3 linked regions of the Drosophila melanogaster genome follow. The protein of the gene in region 2 interacts with the protein of the main gene of each other region in a biochemical or structural test. Each region holds a gene or a part of one and is shown on either strand. Other genes may lie near its edges.

Region 1 (9,656 bases), on a different chromosome or scaffold from region 2:
CTAGAATCAAGACAGCTACCGCAATACTTTTCCAATCTCCTCCGCTCTAGGTTGCCTGTGTTGTGTGGTGGTGTGGCGTGTAAGTTGATTCCGGGCTAAGAAATTTTGTAAACCAAAACCTTTTCCGTAAGTTTGCCCCGGTAAGATTACGATATCCTCGCCTAACCGCCGTGGATCGGATGGATGAGTGAGTTAGTGTAAGGGAGCTTTCCTCTGTTTGGTACACATTGCGAACTGCTCCGATGGCCTGTGGCAATCTACTCCATTCATCCATTATGTCTGTAACCAATTTACCATTTCGATCTTTTCATGTACGTTGAGCTGATTGTTATCGTACTGAAGACGAATCCGCGGCGGAAACTCGCATAGAACAAACAGAAAACTGCGCAAAGGTTTGCTTTTGGTAACTGGTAACGATTGGTTGTGGTTGGTCAGGTCAGGGGTCTTTCGAGCTGGTTAGCCTCCACTTTGGATTGCGGACGGTGACAAAATTCTGGGGGTCTTTTATTTTTGTATTGTATTGTTTGGCAGACAGGATCCATGCAATTGCCTTTTCGTACCGTGCGACATACGGGAAACAAACTATTGTGTAGCAGGGCATTTTTCCTATTACACCATTATTAAGAAAAGCGGACAGAGATCAATGTCACATTTAGATTTGATCAAATAAAGAAAAGAATTCCTCCTTACACGAAAAAGTACTTGTTTCATTTCTAAGTATTTATCAAGATGACTTGAATTTTTTACAATTTTCGCTTGTTAAACTGGTCTATATGTCCTGGATAAGAAGATTTGCAGTGGCGTCCTTGGAATCTCTTTAAAAATGTATACATTTGTTGCAAATAAAGCATTGTGAAATCTATGGACATTAAATGCGACCTCTATTGGAAAACATTCACATATGTCGCAAATTATTATAAGCGGATATGATAGAAAATGTTAAAGTAAAAGGGACTAATTTCAAGGATGAAACATTGAATATCAATAGCAAGCATTTTTCATTCCAACCCGATAAGTACCTATGTACCCAGTTATATTACGAGTAATGGGTATCAGCTGATCGCTACCTTTGCTTCTAAAATGGCATACTGCGTATATCAATAGGCGACATATCGATATAATTGACTGCTATCTCAGCAACATAAAGAAACTGGAATATTCTAACTGTATTTTGCATGCGAATATAAACTTTAGCCGTAATCTTGTCGAATGCTACAAAAAACTACCCAGTAACTTATTATTCTGCCTTTCTTTAATTCGATTCCCTTTGCCATTGAGTACCCGATAGTTAAATATTTGTATGCTGCCCTGCGTACACTGGCCTACAAGCAACTCGAAAAATTCAATTATGTTCGCCGATAGTTAAATAATTTGATGTGGCCCTGCTCACATTGGCTAACAAGTAATGTGAATTAATTATGGGTATAGATATTGCTTGAATTGCAATTCTCATATCACTTTTTTTTTAATTTTCCGTAATATTCATCTTTACGAACCATCCCAATACTTATGCTTCTATTTAAATATTAACATTCATATTTATATTAAACATATATATTGACTCTCTAATATGCTTTAAATGCTATTTAAATCGATTGCGTGCTTAGCATTACATTTTTTAGTCCAATTGTTTGAATATTTTTTCTTTTCGGCATATATCAAAATTACTTGTTAGGAAAAACGTGACCGAAAACCGAAACAGTGACAATAATGGATGGTTGCTGGCGAATCTATCGACTACCTATCGTGTATCGATACACACCGATAGTATCGCAAAAGTTAACGAGGTAGGTCCAGCACCAGTTTTTTTGGCGTGTAGCTGTAGCAGAAGCAAAAGGAAGCCGCTTGTGATAAATTTCAACTTCCATCAGCAAGCACTGAATTTGAGGAAATCAGGTAAATTTTTGCATTTCTACGCGATTAGTTGCTGCCCCGCGGTATTGTGCTTAGTTTTTACGTGTGGTTTACCAATTTCCGCGTACTTAATTGGACATTTTGCCTCGTTTTTTTTCGTACAGCACGCCCGGCATTCGACGCTCCGCAAAAGAAAAAAAAAACTTTTTTGACCACTTAGCAGCTTCAACAAGCAACCAAAAAATCAACATGTCTGACGAAAAGAAGGGAGGTGAGACCGAGCACATCAACCTGAAGGTCCTCGGCCAGGACAACGCCGTCGTCCAGTTCAAGATCAAGAAGCACACACCCTTGAGGAAGCTGATGAACGCCTACTGCGACCGTGCCGGACTCTCCATGCAGGTGGTGCGCTTCCGTTTCGACGGACAGCCCATCAACGAGAACGACACTCCGACCTCGCTGGAGATGGAGGAGGGCGACACCATCGAGGTTTACCAGCAGCAGACTGGTGGCGCTCCATAAGATTACTTAGTTAAGTTAGTTACTCCTCTTACAACTACACACTTAAAACGAAAAAGAAAAAAATACAAGAAAAACCACAAAAGCAAAAACACAACAACAACAACATGAAGAATCCAACAAACCAGGCCCTAAGAATCGATTGAATATGCTTTTAGTACAACTGTAGATTCTAAATGCGTCTGTGTGCGTAAATAACAAAAACATTTGCAGACAAGAAAATGGTAAATAAAGCATTTTATAAACTACACAAAATTTGCCGTCTTTCGCTATTTATTCCTGCGCCTGATCGGCGTTTGTTTTTGCCCTTCTGCAACGAAAAGCCGGTGCGAATTTCCCGCTTTGTGACCCTCTTTCTAAACAGCACGCACACACACTGTCATTGGCATGGCACGTCTGTGTGCGAGCAGGACTGGGTCCAGTGCGCGTGTGTGCGTGCAAATTGATATACATACACATCGGAGAACACTGAATTTGCGGGAAAAGTACAAGCATACATATACGCCTGCGAATTTGCGAAGTCTGGGAAAACATAACCTCAAATTTGAACAAGAAAAAAAAATGACGTCAGTTTTGAGAACCTTCTGGAAATTACATAGAGGTAACTATAACCTCAAAATTGGGATCTAGTAATACGCTTGTGTGTTTGTGAAAGCCAAGCCATACATGATGATTGTGTATGTATACCATGTATACATACATACCATTCATGATGTATGTGCGTATGTGCTTAAATTTTCAAAGGTACAGTTGTGTAAAAAAAAACTATGATGAAAAATTAAAAAGTAGATATGTACGTATGCATACATGAAGTCATGTCGACAGGTCCTGTTATATTAGACCGGCTGTATATGTATATGTATATGTGTTCATTTTTAATATTGGTATTGGGTAAAAATTTCCGAAATTTTTCTTATAGATTTTTTGCTGTCTCACCATGACTCAGCACCATACATATATACTTTATATTGTAAAACATTTATTTTCCAGGCCCTTTAATTATGTATTGAGAAGCAAAGTAATGAGTCAAAGTCGAAGTCTATTGAGTTTGTTCATACTTTGTTGCATTTCATAGATGAATTTCATAACTCGTAATAAAATTAAAATTCATTAACATTATGTATTTAATTTTACTTGTTGAGTCCAATTTATAGTATTATTTGCCAATGTATACTGTATGTTGAATGGAATAAACTAGTTTTTCAAATATGGATAAATAGTTAGGAAACAATAACATTTTGTCATGTTTATTTGCAACAACAATTACAATATGTACACATTAAGTTTTAAATATAATGCAAAAGGCACCGGTTCCCTCTTAAGAACAATTAAAAATAGCTTAGACCCAATCCTTGGGGTTCTTCAGGACCTTCATCAGTTTGCCCTCCTCGGACTGGGACTTGGGCTCGTGCATGTACTCCCAGCGGGCGTGCAGGGGCAGGGACATCAGGATGCTCTCGTACCGGGCTCCAGGCGTGTATAGACCGAACTTGGTGCCACGATCGTAGATCAAATTGAACTCCACGTAGCGCCCGCGGCGCAGCAATTGCCACTGTCGTTCGTTGTTGCCATACTCCCGATTTTTGTGCTTTCGTACCAGCGGCACGTAGGAGGGAATCACGGCCCTGGCGCAGCTTGACACAAAGTTGAAGGCCGCCTCCTGGTTGGGCGAATCGATGTCGTCGAAAAAGATTCCGCCAATGCCGCGGCTCTCGTTGCGATGCTTGATGCGGAAGTAGTCGTCGCACCACTTCTTAAAGCGCGGGTAGTAGGTGGGATCGTGCTCATCGCAGGCGGACTTCAGCGTCTGGTGGAAGTGGGAGGCGTCCTTCTCGCAGAGGTAATAGGGCGTCAGATCCGTGCCGCCACCAAACCACCACTGCTTCTCCCCCTTGGCAGTTTCCACTTCAAAATAACGATAGTTGAAGTGAATGGTGGGGACATGGGGATTCCTCGGATGGATCACGGCACTCACACCGCTGGCAAAGAACGGCAACGAGGCGCCCTCCTTCAGATTCTTGCCGCGAGCCCGCATCTGTTGTACTGCAGCCGGGGGCAACGAACCGGTGACCACGGATATATTGACGCCTGCCTTCTCGAACACATCGCCATCCTGCAGGACGCAAGTGATGCCGCCTCCGCCCTCAGGCCGCTCCCACCGGTCCACCTTGAACTTCTGGCCACAGTTCTCCTCCGCCTCCAGGGCGCGGCAAAACTCCGCCTGGATCTCCATGATCAGGATCTCCATGCGATGACGCATGTTCTCCTTGTCCCCCAGCAGTGCCTTGGAGTCGGTGATGGGCTCGGCCATGAACCGCGAGGTGTTCATCTGCACCCCGTTGACCTTTGGGTCGACAGCCTCCGCGGAATGTGCGTACGTGACCGCCGAAAAGCTGGCCAGGCCCAATCCCGTGCCGAGGAGAAAGCCTCTGGCGTGCGGCCCCCTGGTCCGGCGCACCAGTTGAAAGGTGCCCAGCGATACCAGGGATATCGTGTGACGGAGTGCGTTCATTATGTGCTCTCGCCTACTTCAAATTTTTAACTTAACTTAAGTACTTTCGCCGAACGCAGTTTGTTTGTTATCTTTCACTGACCCGGCATTTCTAGTTGCATAGTCGCCGGTGTGACCGTGATATCACCAAAATATACCGAAAATAGGGGGCTCGCGATTTTGTTCTATTTACAGAGATACAAGAAGTTGTAACGTTCTTATAAAAATATTATATATTGTTAAGAACACTAGCTAGCTCAATATGTCTGTATATATACACAAAATAATAATAATAAATAATATATGTTAAAAGTTACGGAGCAGTACAATTGCTTTTAATGGTAGACATATTTGTCTTAATTTTATATTATTATTTGTTATAAGTGATATAACTCCGATGATGTATATGTGTAGTGTCCATTGGAATACCCCATTCAAAAATATAAGCGCAATACGGGCACTCTGTCGTGGCATTTGAAATAAACGACTGCAAAGGCGCGTCGATCGTTGGCAAATGAGCGTGCTGTGAAGAAATCCATGAAATATTTGCGTGTGCGCCTTGAAGATTAAGGAAGATCTGCGTGAATACTATTGCCAGAAGGTAGGTGATCGACTGGAGCGAACTCTAAATCCTCTGAACTATAGTCAACGCGCAATTATACGTGTTTATCCCGTCGACTGGAGTTTTGCACCCAGGACACACGCACACTCGCACACTCACGATGTCTGGCCTCAAGAAATTCCAAAACACTGAGGAATGGCGTCAGAAACTCCGTCAGTTTCTAATGACCGAGCGGTAAATACACATTGAAACCCATCCTTGGATAGTGTTGCACTAGTGTTCGATGAATTTGTAGTCATTTACTTTCAAACAAGCCACCTGCATGTCAAAATTGTTAGAGAAACAGTACGCATAAATAGTTTGGACAGTTTAGACACACATACAATTTAGTTGAGAAAACTAATAACAGTTTTCCTTTTTCAGCTTGCCGAAAAAGCCCGTGAAAATGGACGAAACGAAGGATATGCGCTATAGTTTGGAGATCGACGAGGATTTGAGGAGACCCTTGGAGGCGCGGGCCAAGAAAGTTCTGGCCGTTAATTCTGCCAGTCAAAGGACTGTTAATCTCGGCGAGGATACTATGTACGAGGCAGGTGACTTGGAGCACTTGGACGATGGCGATGATAGCTTCAGTGCCTTTGAGCGCATGTGCGACAAAACCGGTTCCGATCCGGATAGCACTCTTTTCCAGTACCTGCACAGCGAGGACCGGAGTCAGGTGATGGCCAGGGCTAGGGATCATAGCACCGACGATCAGAAAGAGATCGATGCACTGCGTCGCATGCTAGAGGCAGTGGGTACAGAAGACGATCTATTGGAGAACGAAAGTCCCGTCAAGGGGGCGGAGTGCACTCACCTGGAGGACATTGAGGCGCCGTCGCGCTTTTGGGACAACACCCTGGCCGGAATGGACGAGACCTCATCCGACTCTGGGCTGACTCCTAAAGCATTGACCAAGGTTTCGCCTGTCAAAATGGTGGGGCTGCTTCGCCCCTCAACCATCATCGAAGACAGCGAACTGGAGTCGTCTGATGTGTCTTCACACACAAGCTTCCAAAGCGCTCGCACCCTAAAGACAAATGCATCTAGTTCTTACGAAACAGCCACGGATACTTCCCTCAGTGGAACGCTCCTAAACGTCGACGAATTGTTTTACGCCGCAATTGCCAAGGCCAAGCCACCAGGAATGTCCAAGGGAGAGGAGCTGGAGCTCTTAAGCGATCTTCATGGCAGTCTTAGAGAGCTGGCCTCACTTCCGAAGGATGAGGTCGAGGAGGAAGAGGACGATATAGAGGATACAATAATCGAGCTATCCTCTTCTGACGATGAAGAAGTGCAGCTAGTTCCAGAAGTAAAACAAGAAGACACGTCCCGTGTGTCCTCAGTCCACGGAAAAGATCACACTGAGCAGAAACCAGCGGAGAAGAGCGTTGAAAATAAGGAAAATTCGTTGCATTTCAATGATACCATGGAAGAAATGGAGTACATGATGCAAAAGGGTATGGAGTACATGGCAGGTGGGGCTCCTTCAGTCGCCGCAGTCAAGGCAGATTGCCCTGTGCTGCCCAAGACCAAACAAAGCACGTTCGTTGTTTCACCGAAGCCGGAACCAAAATCACCGGCTGTAGCCTTTTTGCAGCCATCAATTCCGCTGCGGTCATCTAATCAGCCACAAACAGTTGTAGGTTCATCTAGCACGGGTAGAAAGCCGCTCAATGTCGGCCTCACCATGGAGTGGACCAAAAAGAAATTTTTCAGTGCAGCCTCTGGTATTCCTCAGCGTCGCCAAAATCAGATAAAGCAGCCATACGCCAACATAGTCAGTCCCATACGCACCTACACCCAGAAGTCTGGTACTGCTCCGCTAATGAGTACATTCCGTCCAACGAGTTCTGATATGCTATCTACACTGGCCATCAGTGAGTTGGAGCAGGAGTCTCGCTTGTGTCATCCTAAAGCACTTTTCGCAACAAAGGACGAAACACCCAAGTCCAGTGAAGCGGAATCTTTAATTATCAATGGAATCGATTCAGCCGCTGATCTGCTTCCCAAAAAGGCTTACATATCTTCCGAAATCAAGCATGTAAGTTTAAATTTATATATAAGCCATGATGAGTGAACGTAAACTAATACCTTCCATTGAACAGGTGGTTGATGAACGAACTCCTTTGCCCATGCCGAAGGTACCTCAAATTCAAAAATACCTCAACTCCGCCGTGGAGCCTACTGTTATGCGCCACGATGGCAAAATGAAAATGCCCGGCGAGGCAGTCCGCAATCCGTCGTCTTCGCATATCCCACGACGCGCCAATCACAGCCTGGCTGATCTGTCGCTCGCCTCAGGCGACGTGTCCTTATACACAATAAGAGATGCCCAAAAGTTTTAAGGCCCATAAAAGTACTTCACGCTCCTTGACTAAATATTGCAACGATAATAAATGTATTGTGTAACTAGTGCTAGTAAATGCCTTCGTTTTCGTTTGATAGTATCAATGCTTGCATCATCACTTAACTCGCGCCTGCGGTCCCTTCCACGCTCGATTAACCTTGGACTCTGAGGTTCTGCCCAGTTCGGTGCAGATGTACCGCCCCACTTGGATCAGTTTGTCTAGGTTGACGCCAGTATCGAGGCCCATGCCGTGCAGTAAGTAGACCACATCCTCGGTGGCTGCGTTGCCTGACGCCCCCTTGGCGTAAGGACATCCGCCCAAGCCAGAAACGGAAGAGTCCACCACCCGAATGCCATAGTCCAGTGAGACCAGTATGTTGCTCAGAGCCTGACCATAAGTGTCGTGGCAGTGCACGGCCAGATCTTTAGCCGGGACGACCTTGGTCACCTCATCCAGCATTCGGCGCATTGTGCCTGGAGTGCCCACACCAATGGTGTCGCCCAATGAGATCTCATAGCAGCCCATTTGGTACAGGGCTTCCACCACTTTGACGACAGCACTCGGCGCAACAGCACCCTCGTACGGGCAGCCAACCACGGTGGAAACGTAGCCCCGGACGCGCACACCATGCTTTTGGGCTGCTTTCAGCACAGGTTTAAATCGTTCGATGGCCTCAGCTGCCGTGCAATTAACGTTCTTCAGCGAAAACGCATCAGATGCGGCTCCAAAGACTGCCACCTCCTCGGCTCCCGCCTCCAGAGCACTCTCGAATCCCTTCAGATTAGGCGTGAGGACTGGATAGCTTATACCAGTCACTTTGCGGATTCCTTTCAGCACTTCGGCATTGTCGCCCATCTGTGGCACCCATTTGGCGCTCACAAAGCTGGTGGCTTCTATGGTTCGCAGTCCTGTTTCGGACAATTGGTTGATCAGCTCGATCTTGGTGGCTGCCGGCAGGAGTTTGGGCTCGTTTTGAAGACCATCCCGCGGTCCAACCTCCACAATTCGCACCTGATTGGCCGCGCTTGTAACCGCCGTGCGCTGTTAGTTTTAAAATTATTAAAATATTGTCAAGTGCGTTCGATTTTCCGTGAAATTACCTTTGCTGTAAGTGCAAGGATAGAGCGAATTGGTGCACTTATCATTGCTAAATTTGTAAATAAACGTTACGTATTCCGCTTCTTCTTTTTTCGCTGATAACAGCTGATAATGATCCAAGATCGATATGTTGCTAAATTTCGATAACTGTTTTGCTTAATGAGCTGCCATCTCTAGCGCAGAGGCGTAAACACATTTTTTGTATACAAACGGGTATTTGGTGCTAATTCTTTGTAATGGAAATAGCAGAGATATCTGCAGAAGATGAGGATGTGTTTCACTTTGAGACCGAGCACCTGGCCCTGCGTGGCAACCAGTGCTATACCAATTTGCTGCGCACTTTGGCCGTGCTGCAGGCACAAAGGATTCGGGTGCATCAGCAGATTGAGGAATTGGAAGCCACACAAAATATCTACTTGGAGAATCCGCAACATATGCTGGACAAACTGCGAAACAACGAGCCTTTGATAGCGGATAATTACATCACCACGACCGTTCTACCGGACTTGCCAACTCTGTCGCCCAATGACGAGGAAGGGGGCACAAATGAGACACCGACCGATGCGTCTTCATGGACGCAAGAGGCGAACAAGAATCGGGACAGGAGCAATGGACGGTCGGAGAATTTCAATCGCTTGTGGACCAACGAAGAGCAGAGTCGCTTGGAGCAGCTGCTCATCCAGTATCCGCCAGAGGAAGTGGAAATGCGCAGATTCGGGAAGATAGCGAAGGCCTTGGGCAA
Region 2 (11,486 bases):
TGTTATTGTGCTGTGGCGATTTTCAGTCCACCCGGAATCTGGAGGATTTGCAGACGATGGCTGTACCAAAGAAGTACCTGGATATGTGCTCCTTTTACAAGTGAGTAGAGTTTCGACAGCTTGTGGATCAGGAGGTAATCCATTTATTTTTAAAGATACTACAGTGGCGAGCTGGTAGCACCAGTGCTGACCATATTCATTGGCGGCAACCATGAGGCCTCCAATTACCTGCAGGAGCTCCCATACGGCGGTTGGGTGGCTCCAAATATTTACTACCTTGGTTATGCCGGCGTCGTCAATGTAAACGGTGTTCGGATAGCTGGAATAAGCGGAATCTTCAAGGGTCACGACTTTTTGCGCGGCCATCACGAATTCCCTCCGTATACCGATTCCACGTGTCGCAGTGTCTACCATGTGCGGCAGCTAGAAGTCTTTCGGCTGAAACAAATTTCCGGGCGAGTTGATATTTTCCTGTCCCACGACTGGCCCACCGGCATCTATGAATACGGAAACAAGGCGCAACTGCTCCGCAAGAAACCATTTTTTGCTGCAGACATGGAAAGCGGGAAGCTGGGTAGCCAGCCACTGGAGGAGTTACTGAAAGCGGTCCAACCGGCCTACTGGTTTGCTGCCCATTTGCATTGCAAGTTTGCCGCTTTGGTGCCGCACAATCACAGCCAGAAGCTAGGAGATGCTGAATCTTCCTCTTCCAGCAGCAGCAGTGAAGATGAAGACGAGGAAAGGGAGAAGGTAAAGAAAGCTGCTCCTGTACCTCCACCATCCAAATCTGTTCCCGTGACCAAGTTTCTGGCTCTCGACAAATGCCTGCCACGTCGTGCTTTCCTGCAAGTGGTAGAGGTACCCAGTGACCCCATCGAAGGCACTCCCCGCCTGGAATACGACGCAGAGTGGCTAGCCATCTTGCACAGTACAAATCACTTGATTTCAGTGAAGGAGAATTATTATTACCTGCCCGGAAAAAAGGCGGGAGAGTTTACAGAGCGATCAAACTTTACCCCCACTGAAGAAGAACTAGAAGCAGTGACCGCAAAGTTTCAGAAACTTCAAGTCCCCGAGAACTTTGAGCGCACAGTGCCAGCTTTCGATCCCGCGGAGCAGTCTGATTATAAGCACATGTTTGTGGATCAACCCAAGGTTCAACTAAACCCCCAGAGCAATACGTTCTGTGCCACTCTGGGTATAGACGATCCGCTGTGCTTAGTTTTGTTGGCGAATGGCCTAGATCTGCCTGCGGTGGGAGCTACCGAATGCAAGGATAGGGAAACAAAAAGTTCTAAGCTGCAGGCGGTGGAAGAAGACGTGGCTGAACCATTGGTTACGCCAACTAAAAGGAAACTTAACTTATCCCTGCCAGCACCTACAACTGCAGCAGCTGATACCACCGATGAAAACGTGATAGACCTGCCCGAGGAGGAAGCTGAAGAAGCAATTATAGCAACGGAAACGCCTCATGTAGAGGAACCTGCATCAGTGCCCGCTAGTCCCAATGTGAAAAAACTTAAGCGACGCAATCAGAACATTTACCAAGCGCAAGAAGATTAAACCCAAACAAATTCCGTGAAAGCGGAGCGATTTATACAAAAAAAGGAGGCAATTTTATTTAAATAACACAGAAGATACTTGGCTGATACGATCAGCCAACGGTTGATTATGGGCAAATAAATAGGAGGGTGTTAGCTGCTGGGAAGCGAGATAACGACTCACTGTGTCCCGCTGGCATTATCGGCATAGACCTCGTCGGCGCACTGAAAAGCGGCCTGCATCACCGATTCGGGCGTGTCCACAACATCGCAATAGTATGTATCCGGTGATGGGATGCAGTGCAGCTGCACCTGGCTGCCCTCTGCCGTGGCGCGATAGAAGCGACACTGTCGCGGTCCATATGTTGGCATATCCGCATCGTATGGCGGACTAAGAATGTCGAAGAAAGCGGCTACGCCGCTACCAATTTGGGCAATCTGGTGGTAATTTCTCTTTCTAGGAGTCAATGTGGCACACGGACTAGCCGGCGTGACCAATTTGGGTTCCTCGACATTCACCTTCACCACTGTTTGATGGGGGTCATAGGTGAGCGGCTCATCCGGGCCTAACTGGTGCGAAAAGCTGTCCACCATTAGCTGACCCCAGATGCAGCGCAGCAGACCGAACATCATGGGGTGATCGTGCAAGGGAATAGTGCTCGCTCCGCGCACTATAAACAGGCTCATGGAGAAGCGATCATCCTCGAATATATGCATGTAGCTGCAGGGTGCCCGATGGCTTCCCACGTTGCGAAAGAGCTCCTCGCGGAGGTGCAGATCCCGGTAGGTCAGCTCATCCGTCAATTGACGCAGATGCTGCAAATTCGCATTGAAGCTGGCGTGATTTGCCCGGTCGAACGTTTTGAATGCCTGCCGCAGTACATTGCTGAAGTGCGTCGTCATCTTTTTCGGCCAGGTGTACTGAACTCCGGTCGGATACAGTAAAAAGCAAAACAGGCAAGAAACGACTGCGATATAAACAAACAATCAGCTGATACAGTGTTAGGAAACGTATCACGGACTACTTGGATTATTTTTCTTTTATTTATTTATGAACATATTTAAAGAAATGCTTTTATTAATGCCTAATTAGGTCTAATAGCCGCGCTCCTTGGATTGGGTGGCGTGCGTCAGGATCCACGACTTGTAGTCGCGCTTCTTCATCGACATCTGCTTGTGGCGTGGATGCGTGGGGCAGATGACATAACCGCGCTCCTGGCGCACCACGATGTAGCAGTCCTTGCAGCGTCGCTTCAGGCGTCCCTTGACCTTGAATCCCGCCACCTGCTGGACCAAAGTGGAGCCAGGCGTCAGCAGACCCGACGTCTGACAGATTCCAGTTGTGGCGGCCACAAGTTGCGAGCTTTGAATTGATACAATTGCAGGAGCCGCCGGCCGGGTGAGAAGGTGGAAACCACGCGCGGCACTGAGACCATTCCACAAGCGGGAACCTTGTTGCAGTATTCTACTAGCCAGGGACATCTGAAATTTGCATTTTCATTGAGATTTACAATGAAAATTTGTAGAACAGCTCACCTTTTTCTGTTTTGGATTGAACTGGTCAGAAACCGATAACAGGCACAATGACTTCCAGTGCTTCGCAGCACTGGTTGGCGTTAAAAAGTTATCGAATTAAAAATTTGACTAATTTTAAATGTTATTTTATATTTCTTTTATTTAATAAAATTACATTTCTCGCACTGGATTATTTGAATTTAATCGAGTAGAGCAAAACCAAACCCGTTCAAAGCACAAAAATTTAAAAATTTTATCATCCACAAAAATGTGTTTTTATTTTAAATCAGAATGAAATTACAGGGAATCAAGAGCATAATTTAGTGCGCAGTTGAGAACTTATTCGAATAAAAACTTCTTTTTTTTATTAATCGATACTGATGACTGCCACGGGGTTCGAATCGTCCAGGCGGGAACGTTTGCACTTGGTTGGTCCCGCGGGTTCGTCGTCAGACGACTCCAAAATCTCGGTGATATCCTCATCCTCGATTACTTCACATGGCTTGCGCTTGGAGCCCGATTTTGGGGGACTCTGCACAGAGAGCTTGTCTGTGGCCACGACAACAACATCTGCTTGGTCTTCGTCTTCCTCGATTACCAGACAGTCATCGTCATCTTCCTCAACCACTTCGTTGGGCCGGCTGCGCTTCGAAGTGGAGGGTCCATCGTCCTTTGAGTCTCCTTCCCCGTTGGTAGAACGCTTCTTAGCCGATTTCGGTTCATCCTCCTTGTCTTTCACGGCCTCCTTCTGATCCTCATCCTTTGGCTTCAGCTGTGAGGCATCTGCTACGACTTCGAACAAGTTTTCATCGCGCTCCGCATCGAAGTGGGAAATGATAATACTCAACTCGTAGTTCTGGAAGAAGTCGTCGCACTTGAGGATCACACCATCCACAATGTTTAATTCGCTTAGGAGCTTGCCGTCATTGCATTCGGTCTCGCCCTCCTCTGAGGAGATTAAAATGGAGCCATTGCTCTGCACAGTCACATCCGGATTCAACATGTTGAGCGTCTTAACCAGGACCTCGTCACGCAGCTCCTTTATACGCATGCGCTTCGTATCGATCTTGAGAGTAATGGCCGGATCGCTGGCGCATACATGGCAATTGGGATTGGGGCCAGGAAGAGAAGCGTCCGGTACAAGGAAGTGATTTCGTGCATTTGGTCTAAGTCGGGCATAGACGGCCTTGCACTGCTCCCACTTGGCCTCCAGCACTTTGAAAGCCCGCATCACGGAAATTCCCGCCGTAATCGCATTTGTGGTGGCAATAGCAGGAATAATGTTTCCCGCCATTGACTTAATCTCGAACCTTGACTTTCGCTCAATGTCGAAAATGTGGGATCGCACGTTGGCGCAGGCCGCCACGAAATCCATGGCTGGCTGGTCGTCCTTGTCCCAAGCCAGAGTATCGTCGCCTTCGAGTTTCAGGAAGTTAGCGCTCAACTCTTTTAATGAATTGGCAAAGACCTGAGCGCACTCCTCGATGGACCACACCTTGTGATGCTGCTTGGCCACATCCTTCTGATCACCGGAGGATCCTTCGGGCAGCAGGGTATCCCACTGCACGGGCACGGGTGCCTTGCGGGTCTTCCACAAATTCGACATACGCAACAAATAGGTAATGTCCTCGTTAAAGAACTTGTTGAACAGCTTGCCCGCATCATAGTTGCAGTCCTTGGCCCATTGGCGAGTATTAATGCGCATTATGTTGCCGTTGGCAGTATCCTCCTTGGCCTCCTTTTCCTCTTTTGACTCTTCGCCTTTTTCCTTCCCATCGCCTTTGGGCTCGCCATTTCCATCGCCGCCGTCTTTTTCTTTTGCATCGGGATCAGCAGCATCAGGAGAAATATCCTCATCTTCCAAGGACTCACCAAACAGTTGACTGCAAATAAATCAATAGATTTGCTGCAATTTAGACTAATTATTAGGTATACTCACTTAAAGAGATGCTTGGCCCAGACAATGCAGTGAATCGGTTCGGAGGGCGTATTGCGTATGGTGCAGCCCGGGAAGCTTCGCTGTTTGTCTTTTGGAGTGCACTCGTAGCACTGGGTGAGTCCACGCTTGATCAGTTCCACCTGGCCATTGTAGCCGGCGGTGCCGCTCTCGATCAGCGGGACATCCGCATTGAGGCACATGCGATTTACATGATTCCTGGCGGCCCTGTTGTCCAAGGCGCTGAGCACCAAATCGAACTTCTTAAAGAAGTTGACGCCATAATCAGTACTAAAAGGTATGTGTTGTTAGCAAGATGTAAAGGCAAAGCTATCCCAACTTACGATGTTACACTGTCGTGGTAAGCGGTTATCTTAGCGTCCGGATTGAAGCTCAGTGCGCTTTCCCTAGCCACCCGTGCCTTAGATTTTCCAACGTGCTCGCGATGGAATAGGAACTGTCGGTTCAAGTTGCTAAGATCAATTGTGTCCAGATCGATCTGGGTAACGTTTATAAATTAATAATATGGAATACTTTTTTCGAAAAAACTTACAATTTCGATGTCTGTAAAGCCGCTAAGCACAAGGTTTTTGAGCACCTCGCAGCCGATTCCGCCGGCGCCCACGACCAGCACCTTGGACTTCTTTACCAGCTCCTGCAATGTGGGTGGGAAAACACCATTGATAGCTGCTGCCATTTTCTGAATTTACGTTTTCCTTTTTCTTATTTTTGGCGAGAAAATTGCAAAATTGCGATACGGAAAAGCCGAGAAAAGTGACGCCGCCGGTGCAGGTGTTGGGAAACGTATAAAGCTACGGATATTCTCTACCAGGGATGGCTGATATGGGTGACTCTTATTATCACTTAAATTAACTTTTCTAGTATTATTAATATATTTTATTTTACATATTACGACAAAAGTCACCGTTAATTGCACAGAAAAAGAAAGTTCTTTTAAAAGACATCAAACATTTTCTGTCCGAAAAGTCAACTTGTAAAACCTAACAGCAATTGAGCATACTTGCCAACACTTTTGCTCCACCAGCCCACTTTGCGCAAGCTGGGCACACTGCATGCTGGGCTAATCAGAAATAGAGAAAAGCATTTTAATTCGGACGAAGTCGACATACGGATCACGCAGCACGGGTCACGGCAAACGGCAAACGCGGAGAGCGGAACACGGACGAGAACTGCTCAAGCGGAATCAATAGGAATCAATACATTGTGAATAGATCTGGCGAACATCGAATAATGGCCGAAGTGCGACGCAGGAAGGGCGAGGATGAGCCACTGGAGGACACGGCCATCTCCGGATCTGACGCAGCCAATAAGCGCAACTCCGCCGCCGACTCCTCGGACCATGTAAGTAGCAATGACTTGTATGTGGAGCAGCCGAGCGGCAGCTGTTCCGGACACCAATTTGCATAATTCTTGGAGCATAGAAAAGCCAATGTGTGTATACCAACAAATGTGTGTGGCTATGTGTTTTTGTTATTCTCTGACGCACAAGCAGGTGGGAGAAAGAAGAGAGAGCTCTCTCCTGGAGAAAATCCAATAACAAACACAAAACACACCACTAGCCAGCCAGCCTGCCTGCCACCCAACCACCCACCTGCTGTGTTGCAATATAGCGCCATTATGACCAGCAAATCCAATTAGATGGACTACGCCAATTAGGGAAGCACTGGGCCAAGAACCCAGAGCCGAAACCATTACCATGACCAGACTCCCTTTCTGGCTTGGACTTTTTTTGTTATTGCTGGGTGATAATGCCTCCTTATCAACCAAGCTATTTGGCAACAAAACACGCCACCCAAAAAAACCCGCAATTTTTCTCCCCACTTGGTTCCCCTCTCTATTTTATGTGCCTGTGTATTGGATAAACGAGTGATTCTGATTATGGGTATATAGGCACATACATACACGTATCATGGACTTTGCTCGGCGTCGTCCAATAGAAAGTATTTAAACCCTGCACTCCGGTCGTATCGAATCTGATAGGAAACCTACTTTGCAGTCCCAGCCAATGCAATCAATAAGTGAATTTTCCCTTTCCCTTGCTCCTCCTCCTGCCAGGTGGACTCCGAGGAAGAGAAGATTCCCGAGGAGAAGTTCGTCGACGAACTGGCCAAGAATCTGCCGCAGGGAACCGACAAAACGCCCGAGATATTGGACTCGGCCCTCAAGGATCTGCCGGATAGGTATGTGAAACAAATCCATATGCGTAGTTGGGATCTTTAAAGATCATGATGAATAGCTAAAGGTCGATTTGGAATTGATGATTCAAAAAATATTTTATTGAAGTGCGAATTTTATAAATCCGACAGAATGAGTATGAGTGCGTTCCAAAAATAATCCATATCCACAGCTGTCTACAGTTGGCGAGCAAATATTAAAAGTAAATATGTACAATTACAAACAATTATTTTTTGCGCATTCCACAGATGGAAGAACTGGGTGATTCGCGGCATCTTCACATGGATTATGATCTGCGGCTTCGCATTGATCATCTATGGTGGACCGCTGGCCTTGATGATCACGGTAGGTTTAATGGAATTCGCTTAAACGAGTCTTCAAATAATCGTTGTCCTACTTTCTCTTTGCAGACGTTACTGGTGCAGGTGAAGTGCTTCCAGGAGATCATCTCGATTGGCTACCAGGTTTATCGAATTCATGGCTTGCCCTGGTTCCGAAGCCTTTCCTGGTATTTCCTGCTTACCTCAAATTACTTCTTTTACGGAGAGAATCTGGTAGACTACTTTGGCGTTGTAATTAATCGGGTGGTCAGTAAATAATACAATAACCTGATTATATCGCCTGGTAAATATGCAATTTCATCTACAGGAATATCTGAAGTTCCTGGTGACCTATCACCGGTTCCTTTCCTTCGCCCTGTACATCATCGGGTTCGTTTGGTTCGTGCTCTCACTGGTGAAGAAGTATTACATCAAACAATTCAGCCTGTTTGCCTGGACCCATGTATCCCTGCTGATTGTCGTCACCCAGAGTTACCTCATCATACAGAATATATTTGAGGGGCTCATTTGGTTCATCGTACCTGTTTCGATGATAGTGTGCAATGATGTCATGGCGTACGTGTTCGGTTTCTTCTTTGGGCGCACTCCCCTCATCAAGCTCAGCCCCAAGAAGACCTGGGAGGGCTTCATCGGGGGTGGCTTCGCCACCGTCCTCTTTGGCATTCTGTTCTCGTATGTGCTGTGCAACTACCAGTACTTTATCTGTCCCATCCAGTACTCGGAGGAACAGGGACGCATGACAATGTCCTGTGTGCCAAGCTATTTGTTCACGCCCCAGGAATACAGCCTTAAATTGGTAAGTGATAATGTATTTCTATGGAGTTATGGGTTACCGATTTGTTGTGCTGATAGCTACAGTAATAATTTTTTTCATTTCCAGTTTGGCATTGGCAAGACTCTAAATCTTTACCCCTTTATCTGGCACTCGATCTCCCTGAGCCTGTTTAGTTCCATTATTGGACCCTTTGGTGGCTTCTTTGCCTCTGGATTTAAGAGAGCTTTCAAAATTAAGGTAAGTAATCTTTTCGGAACACAGGTCTTTTCAATGTAACGCAACACACCATCTTGTTTTGCAGGACTTTGGCGACATGATACCCGGACATGGCGGCATTATGGATCGTTTCGATTGTCAGTTTCTTATGGCGACCTTCGTTAACGTTTATATATCCAGCTTCATCAGAACTCCGTCGCCGGCTAAGCTGCTGACACAGATTTACAACCTTAAGCCAGATCAACAATACCAAATTTATCAGTCCCTCAAGGACAACTTGGGCGACATGTTAACCTAAACTTGATCGGTTACCAGTAAGATTCGGACAAGACGTTTGCTGAGTCGTACGTTCTATATGTAATGCAGAAATTTCTATATATATACATTGATATATATCTGTAAGCAAACGGGCCGGCAGTTTGAGCAGCCACATAAAATAAGTTAATTACGGGCATAATTTTTGTTATGTTATTAGTCCTTAGTTAGATTTTGTTGCTACATTTTAGTTAAATTCTTAAGTTAGTTTTTATTTTATCTTGCATTAAGTTATTGCGATTGTTTTATTTGGCAGAACTCTACACAGTGCAATCGTATTGTTAAGCGATTCCATTAATTTTAATGCCCTCGTGACAAGGCGTCAAGGCAAGGCAAACAGAATAACTATGAATTTAATATCGACTATGTGTGTGTGCGTGTTGTTAGTGAATTTAATTACGATAACTATAGCTTAGAGATGATCAGGCAGACAACGCCAGAATCTGGAGATTAGCATAATTAAAGCGCATTTTAGTTAAATACCTGAGGGACGAAATTATGAGATCAAGATACCAGGAAAACTCTTGCAATGCTGTAATTCTATATATAATAGTGCAATATGCAGACGTTAAATAATTGATTTAACCATTTCAATATTTATTTATTTACTTTTATTCGGTCATACACTACGCCATGCATAGTGCAACATCCTCAACCCGTGAATCTTTCTCAAAAAGTACATAGATGATATATAATCGGTTACTTATAAATCCTGTTATACTGTACGGCATTTAAGAACGAAAATGCAATTCGTCGGCGTTTTAAAGAACTAAATGTACAAAGATTTCAATATTAAATCTTACAGTCTCTATGTTAAATATATATAAAAATAACAAAGCCTTTTTTTAAACAATGTGGGAAGCGCTTCTCTTCCATGGCACTTGTGATATCTTAGCATCTAAAAGGTAGTTTTAATCTCATTAACTAATAGGGAACGTTGTGTCCCCTAAATTAAGTTGATAGTATTCACCATCATCTTTTTGATTAAGGAACGGTCTAGGTCGTTCACATCATCGCGGTCCAAATTGAAGTAAACTTTCCTCTTGCGAGCATCATCGAGAAGGTTGCGCCACATTTCAACAGACTACAAAATTAAGAAAAGTTCATAAAAAACATGTTTTATTTCAATTAAATCTGGATACTGACTTTTAGATCTTCAAAATTGCCACATATGACTAGACAACGACGCGGTCTGGTCAGCGCCACATTAAGTCGCTGATAGTTCGTTAGAAAGCCACAGCCGCGTGTCCTGGCATTTGAAATTATTATCACATCCTTTTCCAATCCTTGATACGAGTCCACAGTCTGAGGAGTTATATTCATGTGACTGGGAATAACCTGGCTTAGCGCGTAACACTGGTTTTGGTACGGCGAAATTAATCCATAGCTAAATCGCTTGCTGGGCATATGTTTGTCCATTTCTGTCAGAAGTTTGGCCACAAAACGAGCCTCCTCGTTATTGCTGATACTCTTGTTTTGGGCGCCATTGCTGTCGCAAGTGTATTTTAAATTAATAACGCAGTATGGAATGAGCGGTGAGGCGAAACGAGCAGTACACTCGGCGTTTATCAACTGATCCTCGTAGAAATACTGGTTTGGCCATCGACAGATCTCTGGATGCATGCGGTACTGCGTGCTCAGCTTAAATAGTTTCGTATGCATTAAGTGATAACTTCCCGGCTTATCAAGCTGTGTCTGCAGGCTTCGCTGAATGCGATCAAACATTGAATTAGAAAGGCCAAAGTCTATGGCCTTCTTGGACAGCACCACAGCCGGAAGTTGCTGCATGTCGCCAACCAAGACCATATGCGTTAATCCAAATCGCATTGGCAGTAAAGTCCAGGGCTCGGTACATTGTGTGGCCTCGTCGACGATGCATATGTCAAAGAAATCTACATAGTTTGCCAGTTTTACACAAGAGGAAAGCGTTGTGCAGATGATGTTCGCCCTGGTCACGCACATGTGAGAGATTTCAAACTCCTCGCGCTGCGTCAGCGGCGGACTCAGTTGGTTACTTATCAGCTGCAGTTTTTTTTCCTTCTGTTGCAACTGTTGCAAGAGATACGTTGACGTGAGATTCGTTTTCTCCTTCAGCTGTTGAATCTCATCTTTAAGATCATTATGCTGCTTTTTTAGGATTTCAGCGTTCTCTTTACTAACGCGCTGCAACTTCTGCTCCTTGGCTTTGTTGAAATGCGCCTCCAGCGAAAATGGACGAGAGTAGTGGCTCATCTTCTCGTGCATTCCAAAACGTAGTAGGTGGAATTGGTCGCGGTTCATCACACGCAAAACTGAGCCTAGCAGCCCAACAATATGATCTACAGCTGTATTGGAATGAGCACATATCAAGATTTTGCGGTCCAGCGTTTTGGCAGCATTTCCGTACAAAGTCTGCAGACATAGTTCCGAAATAACTCTTGACTTTCCGGTCCCGGGGGGACCCTGGATCAGAGTGAGACTCGGTTGTAAGTCGTCAATTATACGTTGATAGGTATGCAGGACAATGTTCTCCTGATGTTCATTTAACTTGTGGCACCCCTTGAACGTAAACGGCTGTTTAGGGAGTGAAACCTCATTGACTGTTTGCGTAGGCTTCAAGATCCGCCGGCAGAGCGGAGAGCTACGGAGCTGATGGACGGCACTCAAAGCGC
Region 3 (10,520 bases), on a different chromosome or scaffold from region 2:
TAGCAGCGACGGCGGTCCGCGGGTTGAAAGCCAGCGACAAATGAACAAAGGGTCGATCCTGGGGATCTGCTCCTTCATTTGGCTCCCCTCCATCTCTTTTCCTGGCCGAGATCGGGACCTGGGCCAAATTGTTCGATTGTTTATGGCTGCCAACAACGCCCACCGAGTGAAGTTGCCAAGTGAGAAACCAGCAACAATCATCTGGCGGCTGATAAAGTGCCAGGTATCCCCGGCCCACATGCACCACCTTCCCTCACCTCTCCTCCCTGTATGTTTTTGTTGTGTCGCTTATCGGCGAGGATCGATCGCAGCTCCAGCAAGAAGAAGAGAAGAGAAGAGTAGAGAGACCTGACGCTGAAGACGGCGGCGAGCTGATTTAACAAATTGATAAACAATTGTTGGCGTTGGCCGCAGGGAGGGGAGATGCGCGGAGATGCCCGGGGAATCCCCCCTCGCCATCCACACAAAAGGTGTGTGGGGCGGCGTAACGTTACGAAATGGCTAAACAAACGATCGCCCGATCGCAATTTCAGCGAAGACGGCTTGTTCCCAGATCCCAAATCGATTTCGTATGCGAATGCGAATGCGTAGCCTTGAAATTCCGTACACTTGGGCATACAACTGTGAAAGGTCTTTCATACTAAAATAGTATTTTTAATATAATATTGTTGAAATAATATAAAAAGCCATACACATTTCAAATAGATTCGTTTGGTTTGAGAAATCGAAATAACTATGTGTATTTCTCCATTTGAAACCGCCTAATCTGAAGGTTTGCAATAGGTTTTGGTGCTCAGAACCGAATCCGCACAACAATGGAAAAGAGGAAAGGGTGTTGGGATGGCACTCGCGAAACAATCGCTGGTGGAGATCTGCTCCACCAACTGGTGAACCGCCGCGCTGAGAGATCCCGGCCCGGTCTAATCCTCGGCGGCAGAGGCAGCTGTCGCTGGGGGCAGAGCTAGGGACTCCGAGCCAAGAGCTGGGCACCCAAGTCAGAGCTACAGCCGAGACCCAGCCAAAAGCCATTGTTAGCTGTTAGTCTCCCGTTCGCACTCTATCGGCGCTCGGCCATCTCCCTGCCCTTCTCCTCGCGGAGGCCTCTTCAGCCCGGACAAAACACTTTACGTGTGCGGCTTATCGCCACCCAATCGAAGGCAATAAATATCTTACAAATAAGCAGAATGCCTCGGAATGCCAGCAGAGCCCTTTATTTTTGGAGGGGCAGGGTGAAGCGATTCTTCTAACCGATTGCTCACGTGCAGAATTGTGTGAATTCGTGAAAAATCGACGGCGGCAATTAGGGCGGGCCGTCAATAGTTTGGCAACAGTTGCAACATTTGTTGCAGTGGCAGTGGCAGCGGCAGCGGCAGCGGCATCACAAACAGCAGCAGTCAAAAGACTCAGGCAACAAACTTGGTCTGCACAGCGAGAAATTTGGGATTGCTTTCAAAACATTGCTGTTTCGTCTAATAATACGAATATATCAAATGTTTCTCTCATGGGCTTATTCGGGAAATGAATGACTTTAAAACTAACTACTAAACGATTTTCTGTGTATAAGTCTCTCTTGTTTTCTCTACTTGTCGGAGTCGCTCTGGATGTGCTGACATTTCAATAGCCATCAATTGACAGGTCAACGCGCATCCTCTCCAGTCTCCCATCCTCAAAGGAAATCCATGGACGAGGGAGGACTCCAGAAGGGGGACATTTGGGAGCTGGAGCCCGCACGAGCAGGGTAAATGTTCGCTCCGGTCGAGATGTCGAATTTCTGGCGAAGCGAGATGCAAACTGCAAACTGCGACGCTTATCCGGCGACTCCATCTGCATGCCATGTGTGTGCCATGTCCACGTCCACTTCCACTGTCCGCCGCCATAATCTCGGCCAGCATCGCCGTTGGTCGTTATAATATTTCGCCGTGGCCAAAACAGAAACAAATCAGATGTCAGTTCGGGATTCTGGCCAACTTCGAACTTTTGCAGCGATCCGCGGGGCCTAATCATCAGTGACCACCATGGGCTTTTCTTTTCCCCTGCCCATCTCCTTCCATTTCCACCAGCGTTTTCCACGTAAGAGATGGCCACAGTGGATAAACTGCCCCTGCTGCTCCTCCTATGCAGCCTATGCAGCCTATGCAACCGACTGCTGTCGCATTGTTTTCACAGCTCTGACCACTGACAATTTGTTCGATAATAATTGCCAAACCAGCTGTCTGACACATAGATTCCTCATGGGCAGCGGATGCAAGAGATAGGATGCCGCTGTTGCGGATTCCGCGAAGCCAATTTGAGGCACTAAACTGCCATGTAACTGTCTGACCCCGAAGCAAATTCTCATTCTTGCTTGAGATAAAAATTGTGTATAAAATCCATTTGTACACATTTAGTTTAAGTCGTTCTTTATTCTACTTATGGATAATAACTAATATTGATATATTTGTTCTAATTCTTTGCAGATTCCAAAGATCTGAGTGCTCAGGATATAGGCGAGCAGAAGCAGCAGCAAATGGAGGACCAGTTGGAGGATCAGTTGAACGATTCCAGAGACCCCCAAAACAACAATAACAATATCGATGACGACGCTGATGAAGATGCTGAGTTCGAGGAGCCAGAAAAGGCCAATCCCCAACAGGATCAGGATTTGGGAGAGACAGAGATGGAACAGGAACACGATCTTCAGCAGGAGGATCTTCAGCAGGAACTGCCTGCAAACAGCCCAAGCACTCCGCCCAGGAGTCCCAGCTCTCCCCAGCTGATTCCCAAGCTGGAACAGCCCGCTACGCCGCCCTCGGAGCCAGAAGCCTCTCCGTGCCCCTCACCCTCACCATGTCCCACGCCCAAGTACCCCAAAGTGCGTCTGAATGCGCTCCTGGCCTCAGATCCTGCCCTTAAGCCAGATGCCAAGGAGCTGACCCTGCCGGACTCTCGTCTCCTGGCTCCTCCGCCGCTCGTCAAGCCGGACACGCAAGCGCAACCGGAGGTAGCAGAACCTCTGCTAAAACCAGCCAGATTTATGTGCCTGCCCTGTGGGATTGCATTCAGTTCGCCCTCAACTCTGGAGGCCCATCAAGCCTACTATTGCTCTCATAGAATTAAGGACACGGACGAGGCTGGCAGTGATAAGTCAGGGGCAGGAGGATCGGGAGCCACAGCTGGCGATGCAGCAGGGTTGACCGGAGGCTCCACCGAGCCACCAGCCAAAATGGCCAGGACAGGAAAGCAATATGGCTGCACCCAGTGCTCCTACAGCGCGGATAAGAAGGTATCCCTAAATCGCCACATGCGCATGCACCAGACTTCGCCAGCAGCTCCCACACTGGCCGGCTTGCCAAGTCTTCTCCAGAACGGAATAGCGCCGCCGGGAGTTACGCCCAATCCGATGGAGGATAGCTCTAGTCAAGTGAGTAAAGTGTTGAGGTGCCAGTTGCCCCTGGAGTCGCAAGCTAATGATAAACAAATCCCCTCCACAGCAAACCGATCGCTACTGCAGCCACTGTGATATCCGGTTCAACAACATCAAGACCTATCGAGCGCACAAACAACACTACTGCAGTTCGCGGCGACCAGAGGGACAGCTCACGCCCAAGCCAGACGCCTCTCCGGGAGCAGGTTCCGGACCGGGTTCCGCAGGCGGATCCATAGGAGTATCAGCCCAGGCGGCTACGCCCGGCAAGCTGAGTCCGCAGGCAAGGAACAAGACTCCGACTCCCGCAATGGTCGCCGTCGCAGCTGCAGCAGCGGCTGCCGCTGCCTCCCTCCAGGCCACGCCGCATTCGCATCCACCTTTCCTGGCACTGCCCACCCACCCGATCATAATTGTGCCCTGCTCGCTGATCCGTGCAGCTAGCTTTATTCCAGGCCCACTGTAAGTTCCCAGGAGAAAAATCCCTAAATTGCATCCAGTTGCGTTTGAGGATGGCTTTGAAACAATGTATATAAAATAATTAGGTATTTGACTGAACTATTACATTTTTATGTGCAGGCCCACGCCGAACTCGGGAATCGTGAATCCTGAAACCACCTGTTTTACCGTGGACAACGGAACGATTAAACCACTGGCCACTGCCCTAGTTGGCGCCACCTTAGAACCCGAACGCCCTTCAGCTCCATCATCTGCTGCTGAGGCCACAGAAGCCAAGAGTAGTCCTCCGGAGCCCAAGCGAAAAGAGGCAGGGTTAACTAGGTTAGTTCCTAAATATTTGTGATTCACGCATCAGATAAAAGTTATTACTATGGCTAGACTCCCCTGATGATGAAAACCACTGAATAACGCATACTCTTTTTTACTACCTTCAGAGAATCTGCGCCTCTCGATCTCTCGCTGCGTCGATCGCCAATCACCCTGAATTCACTGAGCTTGCGTCAGCGCCAACTGCGGAATGCTCTCTTAGATGTGGAAGAAGTACTCCTTGCCGGCGTAGGAACCGGCAAGGAGAACGTTGAGACTCCGAGAGGAGGTGGAAGTGTGACTCCCGAGCAAATCGTTTGCGCTCCCTCCCTGCCGAGCAGTCCTTCGATGAGTCCCTCGCCCAAAAGACGAGCCATCAGTCCACGCAGTTCCGGGGCTGGTAGCGCCTCCTCCATGTCACCACCTGGTCTCAATGTGGCTGTTCCCCATCTGCTCGACATGCGCTCCATGCTACCTGCGGACTTTGGACTCTCCGAGTCGCTGTTGGCCAAAACCAACCCGGAACTGGCTCTGAAACTGGCGGCGGCAGCGGCCGCAGCTGCTGTGGCGGGCAGTAGTGGAGCAGCAGCCTTCCCGCCCGCTTCTCTTCCTGCCCAAACTAGTAGTGGGAATCCGGGTAGTGGAGGATCGGCAGGTGGCGCCCAGCAGCCTCAGATCTATGTGAAAAAGGGCGTGTCCAAGTGCATGGAGTGCAATATTGTGTTTTGCAAGTATGAGAACTACTTGGCACACAAACAGCATTATTGCTCGGCAAGAAGCCAAGAAGGTGCGAGTGAAGTGGATGTCAAGTCGGCCGTTTCACCATCCATCGCTGGAGCAGGAGGACTGGGAGCCGGAGCTGCAGAGGCTGCTTCGTCGGTGGAAACCACACCGGTGGCATATCAACAGTTGATCTGCGCCGCCTGCGGAATTAAGTACACTTCCCTGGACAACCTGCGAGCCCATCAGAACTACTATTGCCCCAAGGGAGGAGCAGTTGCTGCCCCTGCCGCGACGCCCACGGATCCTGGCCAACTGGGCATGCCAAAGGAGAAGTGCGGAAAGTGCAAGACATTGCATGAAATTGGTCTGCCTTGTCCACCACCCGTTGCGAATCCTCTCGCAGCGCCGACAGTCAATCCGCAACCCGCCACCAATAGTCTGAACAAGTGTCCTGTTTGCGGGGTAGTGAGTCCCACAGCAGCACTGGCCAAGAAACACATGGAGATGCACGGAACAGTAAAGGCATACCGCTGCAGCATCTGCCAGTACAAGGGGAACACTCTTCGCGGCATGCGCACCCACATTCGAACCCATTTCGACAAGAAGACTAGCGACGTAAACGAGGAGCTATACATGACCTGCATCTTTGAAGAGGATGCTAGCGCGCTGAGTCAGGAACTGGTTACTCCAACAGGGGCATCTACCACAACTGGACACGATTCCATGGATCATCCCTCGCAGATGTTCAACTGTGATTACTGCAACTATGTCTCCACCTACAAGGGCAATGTGGTGCGTACTCCTTTTTATTGCTGCCAGACCAAAGAACTCACTATAGCTTTTTCCTTACAGCTGCGCCACATGAAGCTGATGCATCCCCATGTGGCCATCAACTCTCCCTCCATTTCCCCCGACACCAGAGATCAAGATGTGACTTCCAACCCCACTACCAACCAACACTCGAATTCCGATGTATCCAACGGTGAAGCACCCAGGTAAGGATGACAGGAAATTATCTACATTCTTATTACTATATCTTCTCTAACTTCCTCGTCCACAGTTTCCACATTAAATCGGAGCCTCTGGATCCACCACCGACTGTGAATCTGGTGCACGAGAACAACAACTCCCCGATCGCCACGCCACATATTAAGGCTGAGCCAATCGAAGTCGGAGCGGATGCTGCGCCCGGCGGGCTGGTTCCGCCGATGACTTCTCCGCTGGGAAACAGCAGCAGCGTGGCTGCCGCAGCAGCTGCCGCCGCCGAGGTGATGAAGAAGTACTGCTCAACCTGTGACATATCCTTCAATTACGTGAAGACCTACCTGGCTCACAAGCAGTTCTACTGCAAAAACAAGCCCATTCGCCCCGAGGCCAGCGACAGCCCCAGTCCGAATCACCTGGGCGGAGGCGTTGCCGTGGGCCTGGGCATTGGCGGCCTGGTCGGCGGACACGGCCAGCAGAAGAACAAGGAAAACCTGCAGGAGGCGGCCATTTGAGAAAGCCAGCTGCGGTGGGAGGCGCAGCGCAAGCAGCTTGAGTGGTATTACACGTGCTTCTAAGCAGCAGCCCAACCCAATCGAAACTAATCGAATCCTAGCCTCCTTTAAAAATGTACACTATCCAAACCGCAACCAACCATCGACGACAGTATTCCCGGAAAATCTCCCGTCGCTGCCCTCCACTTCCAACTCCATTTGGGGACTGACTCCTTCGACTTACCGATCGATAGAAGTAGATATATACATCGTACTCCCGTACATATACAGTACACCTAAAGGAATAACACATAGATACTTAGGTACATTAATTTAGGCGCATACCCATTAAGTGGGAACCATGACATATAATGCATGCCAAAGCTTACCACTTAGACAGAAATTAAATTGAGGGCGAGAAACTACAAGTTTGCAATGGTCTGCGGAGTAGAAGGAGGCGAAGTATTCCAATGTAGATCCAATACTATAATGTAAATTACTCGCTGTTCCCCATAAAGCGAGCAATTCTAACTGTGTAATTTAAATGAGTACATTATTTATTAAGTGTGTGCGACAATAAAAGTAATTAATTTATTCAATATAAAATATAGTGAAATTAGTAACTAAACGACATTTTACATTTTTGAATTCAACGAACGATTTGAGTGCTGCCAGATTAGCGAAAAATGTTATGACGACATAGTTGCCAGATTGATTAAAATATTGTCAAACATCGGACATATTACCGGATCAATAGAAAAATATTGTGGCATCCCTAATAAAAGAACCGTTAGATTAGACCAGGCATCAGATAGATCAGCTGATCGTTGGTAGCCTACTAGAAGTTCTGTTCGCCTGGTACTCAGAATAGAGCATGCCCACCAAAACCAAGACTTTGGGAATCCTGGCGGTTGTTTTAAAAACACCTTTCCACGCTTATGCTTCCCTGGTAATTCAGTTCGAAATATATGAGCATCCTCGGGAAAAATAATAAATTCAGCTGTCAGTATGCCGGATTCCCCAGACTGAAGTACCAGGCGAACACAAATCTCAGTAGGTGTTTTAACTGGGCATTTTTCAATATGGCGGCCTCGTTGGAAATGAACCGTTAGCTGGAAGCATTGCTATATCAGCAGCGAATGCTACCAGATCAGCCAAAAATTATGCATAGTAATGTTGGCGGACTTGCCAGATCAGCTGAAATAGTTGGGAAATGTGACCAGCTTCAAATGCCTAAAAATCAAATAAAATATAAAGGTAAAAATGGACTGAACAAGTTTTTAAATAAAATGCTTAAATTTAAAAATAGTCATGTTACTTAAATAATAAGCAAAAGGAAGAACTTTATATGGAATAATTCAAGCACTAAATCCAGCTGTACGGCTACTGACGACCAACAAGTGCTCGACTGCACATTTGCTGGGAAATCCTTTCCGCTTTAAAATGCATAAGCTTTTACAACTAATAAATTTTTATTGAAATTACATAGGTTTGTACGTAGTACTCGCGATACAAAATAGCCCGTAGAATAATCGGCACCTGCACCCAGAATGGAAGCTGAAAAGAGCGTCGAATTCTGGGTGCCACGTGGCCACTTTGGGCCTCATCGAAAAATTACAGGACTTATTTGTATTTATTCAGATGGTACATGCTGGTAATTAAGCAAGTGCAGAACATTAAAAAATTAGATGCTTCGGGCCGCGGGGGCTATCCAAAATTAGTCGATTCTTTAAAAGTAAGTAGACGTGGAGAGCATTCCAAACAAACGCTTACCGGCTAGATGTGTGTATTTGTTAATGTCTATGTGGTAAAGGTGGTTGGCAGGAGCCCGACTACTCAGTGGCCGCCATGGCGCGGGCCTGGGCACGCACGCGCTTCTCGTACTCCAGTCGGTTCTGGCAGTAGATGGTGTAGGCCTCCGCCTGGGCTGGGTCCTTGATGTTCGGCTCGTTGAGCAGGTCCTGGATGCCCAGCAGGATTTGCTTGATGGTGATGGCGGGGCGCCAGTCCTTCTCCTCGTCCAGCAGCGACAGGCAAACAGTGCCCGAGGGATAGACGTTCGGGTGGAACAGCGGCGGTTCGAACTTGCACTTGGGCGGCGAGGTGGGGTAGTCGTCCTTGAAGATCATGCGCAGCTTGTAGAGCCCGCCCTCCCAGGGGGTGGACTTCTTGCCGGGAATGGCGCACTCCCAGATCATCAGGTTGAGGGTGCCGTCAGGGTTCTTGGCGGGTCGTGCGACGAACCCGAATGGGTGATCCTTGCGCCAGGCCTTGCGCTCCTCCCCCAATCGTGTAATAGCAATGCCGGACATGGTCGTCGCTGCTTGCTCGCTTCTCTACTGCCGCCCGAACGTGTCCTCGAGTCCTGGATTTCCGCTAGCAGTCCCACTTGGCCTTTTTTGCACGCGCGTCTGTCTGCGAATGTGTGTGTGTGGGTAAGTGGCCTACGAGGGGCTTTGTCGCCTTTTGGCGCGCTAAGTGCAAGAGCACCTACCTCTCTGTTCGTCCTTGCGTCTCCAGTGGTTCCAAGCAAATTAATTATTTGCAATCGCGGGGGGAACTCGCGCTTTTCGCAATTTTTACCGCAATTTTTCAGGAATGAACGCTTGTGCTCGCTAAAGGTATAAGTTTTTCTACACAAAGGGTCTCACTATGCGGTTATCGATATTTAGTGTGGCCGTGGATAAACAGTGGTATTAAAATACTGACTTTTTCAAAGCACTTTTGTATTATGTTTTAAATTTAAAAATTCTTTGGATTTTGGTAAGCTCAACTTAAAATGTATTAGGTTTTTCTCTTAAGCCGTTACATTCCTAAAAACCCTCTACTCAATACAAAACTAGTTTAATTAAACGTTAGAATTAAAATTTATTCGCATTACTGTTTACACAAATTACTGCATTAGTTTTAAGAAATGCAATGTAGAATTCGTAGTCAAAATTGCACTGTTTACAAAAATTGGAATATATTTGTATCTAAACTGTTCTTAAACATATAAGCCTCCTGTGCGGAGCCACAGAAATATTTGAAATACATATTTAAATTGATTGCGGTAAAAAAGTCGAGGGAACATTTTCTACAATTGTAACCTAACCGAACTAAATAAGATTGTTGTGCCTGGCCAAGGAACGTACATAACTAACTCAGTAAGTGAATCGTCTTTTGTAGCGGTGTTAGTCCATATGAGCTATGGACTGCGGTAGATGGAGAAGCCATATCGAAACGAAAGGGAGCTTGGCTAGCTGCAGAAGACATTTACGATGGAACGAGTGGGGATGTTGTTCGGATGTTGCGTCCTCCCGGCTCTACTTGCCCTTTTTCGACTCCTTCTTTTTGCTGCCGGACGAGCTGACGCCCTCGTCCTTCTCCTTCTTCTCCTTCTTTTCGGGCTTCTCCTCGGGATGATCTTCATAGCTGCAGTGGGGGCGAGAATGAGTTAGTTTAGTTTCAAGTCGAGCGCCCAGCGCAGTCCACACTTACGCAAAGAGCACCTTCAGCTCGCCGCGGATGAGGGCCACCAGGAGGGGCGTGCCCATGCAGGCTGGCACCAGGTAGAGCAGAGCCGGCTGCGCATGCTTGAACACATGCATCACGAAGATGGTGGCCAGCAGGCCAAGGAAGTAGGCAATCAGCGTGGAGTAGAAGTAGATGCGCGTCTTGCGCTTCTTGCTGTCGTCGAAGCGCAGCAGCAGAGCGATGAAGATGCCCGGAATAACGATGTCGCCTAGTCCCAGCATTGCGAAGTTCGAGGCGTTCAGGCCGTTCTCGATCAGGTCCTGGGGGAACACTAGCTTGATGGGCGCCTCGAAGCTCTTGGCCACGGTGACCATCACGTTGGTGCCGAATACCCAGAAGATGTCGTAGAAGAACAGGCCGCTCAGCAAGATGACGCCCGTGACGAAGTTGTTCAGGTGCAGCATCTCCACGCCGTTGATGGCGAAGGCCAGACCGAACAGATTGTTGGCGATCCAGTGCTTCTTGAGCAGGTACCACACTCCGATCGCCGAGGAGATCACCAGGCAGACAATGTCGTGCGTGGAGAACTTGTAGTTAACGATGTCTTCCTTGTGCTTGCCCTCCCCCTTAGTGAACAGGATGTGGAAGGGCACCTTCGGCACGGCGGCGGGCATCAGCGAGTTGATCACCGGACT

The links.
Region 1: of the proteins of Uba2 (region 2) and Sumo, one has a biochemical effect on the other in vitro, tested with the Drosophila melanogaster proteins (one study listed by BioGRID).
Region 3: of the proteins of Uba2 (region 2) and lwr, one has a biochemical effect on the other in vitro, tested with the Drosophila melanogaster proteins (one study listed by BioGRID).

The regions. Positions count from the first base shown.
Region 1 is NT_033779.5:6,959,748-6,969,403, reverse strand, and holds Sumo (small ubiquitin like modifier), read left to right. Parts: upstream 1-1,759; 5' UTR 1,760-1,896; intron 1,897-2,018; 5' UTR 2,019-2,103; coding exon 2,104-2,376; 3' UTR 2,377-2,624; downstream 2,625-9,656. Other genes in the region: Coprox (coproporphyrinogen oxidase), read right to left, coding at 3,713-4,885; sip2 (septin interacting protein 2), read left to right, coding at 5,587-5,660, 5,850-7,509, 7,574-7,813; Hmgcl (3-Hydroxymethyl-3-methylglutaryl-CoA lyase), read right to left, coding at 7,931-8,857, 8,917-8,961; Atac1 (Ada2a-containing complex component 1), read left to right, coding at 9,151-9,656.
Region 2 is NT_037436.4:8,122,016-8,133,501, forward strand, and holds Uba2 (Ubiquitin-like activating enzyme 2), read right to left. Parts: upstream 5,804-11,486; 5' UTR 5,690-5,803; coding exon 5,546-5,689; intron 5,492-5,545; coding exon 5,337-5,491; intron 5,284-5,336; coding exon 4,996-5,283; intron 4,940-4,995; coding exon 3,424-4,939; 3' UTR 3,312-3,423; downstream 1-3,311. Other genes in the region: ldbr (lariat debranching enzyme), read left to right, coding at 1-100, 156-1,563; CG7550 (uncharacterized protein), read right to left, coding at 1,722-2,444; mRpL36 (mitochondrial ribosomal protein L36), read right to left, coding at 2,637-3,023; Cds (CDP-diacylglycerol synthase), read left to right, coding at 6,244-6,354, 7,069-7,193, 7,437-7,533, 7,599-7,775, 7,837-8,325, 8,410-8,541, 8,606-8,818; Setx (senataxin), read right to left, coding at 9,782-9,919, 9,982-11,486.
Region 3 is NT_033779.5:533,567-544,086, forward strand, and holds lwr (lesswright), read right to left. Parts: upstream 9,015-10,520; 5' UTR 8,864-9,014; intron 8,814-8,863; exon of another isoform or gene 8,785-8,813; 5' UTR 8,682-8,784; coding exon 8,202-8,681; 3' UTR 8,143-8,201; exon of another isoform or gene 7,671-8,142; intron 7,603-7,670; 3' UTR 7,033-7,602; downstream 1-7,032. Other genes in the region: ush (u-shaped), read left to right, coding at 2,457-3,400, 3,471-3,865, 3,983-4,183, 4,297-5,683, 5,744-5,886, 5,952-6,390; Spp (signal peptide peptidase), read right to left, coding at 9,675-9,783, 9,850-10,520.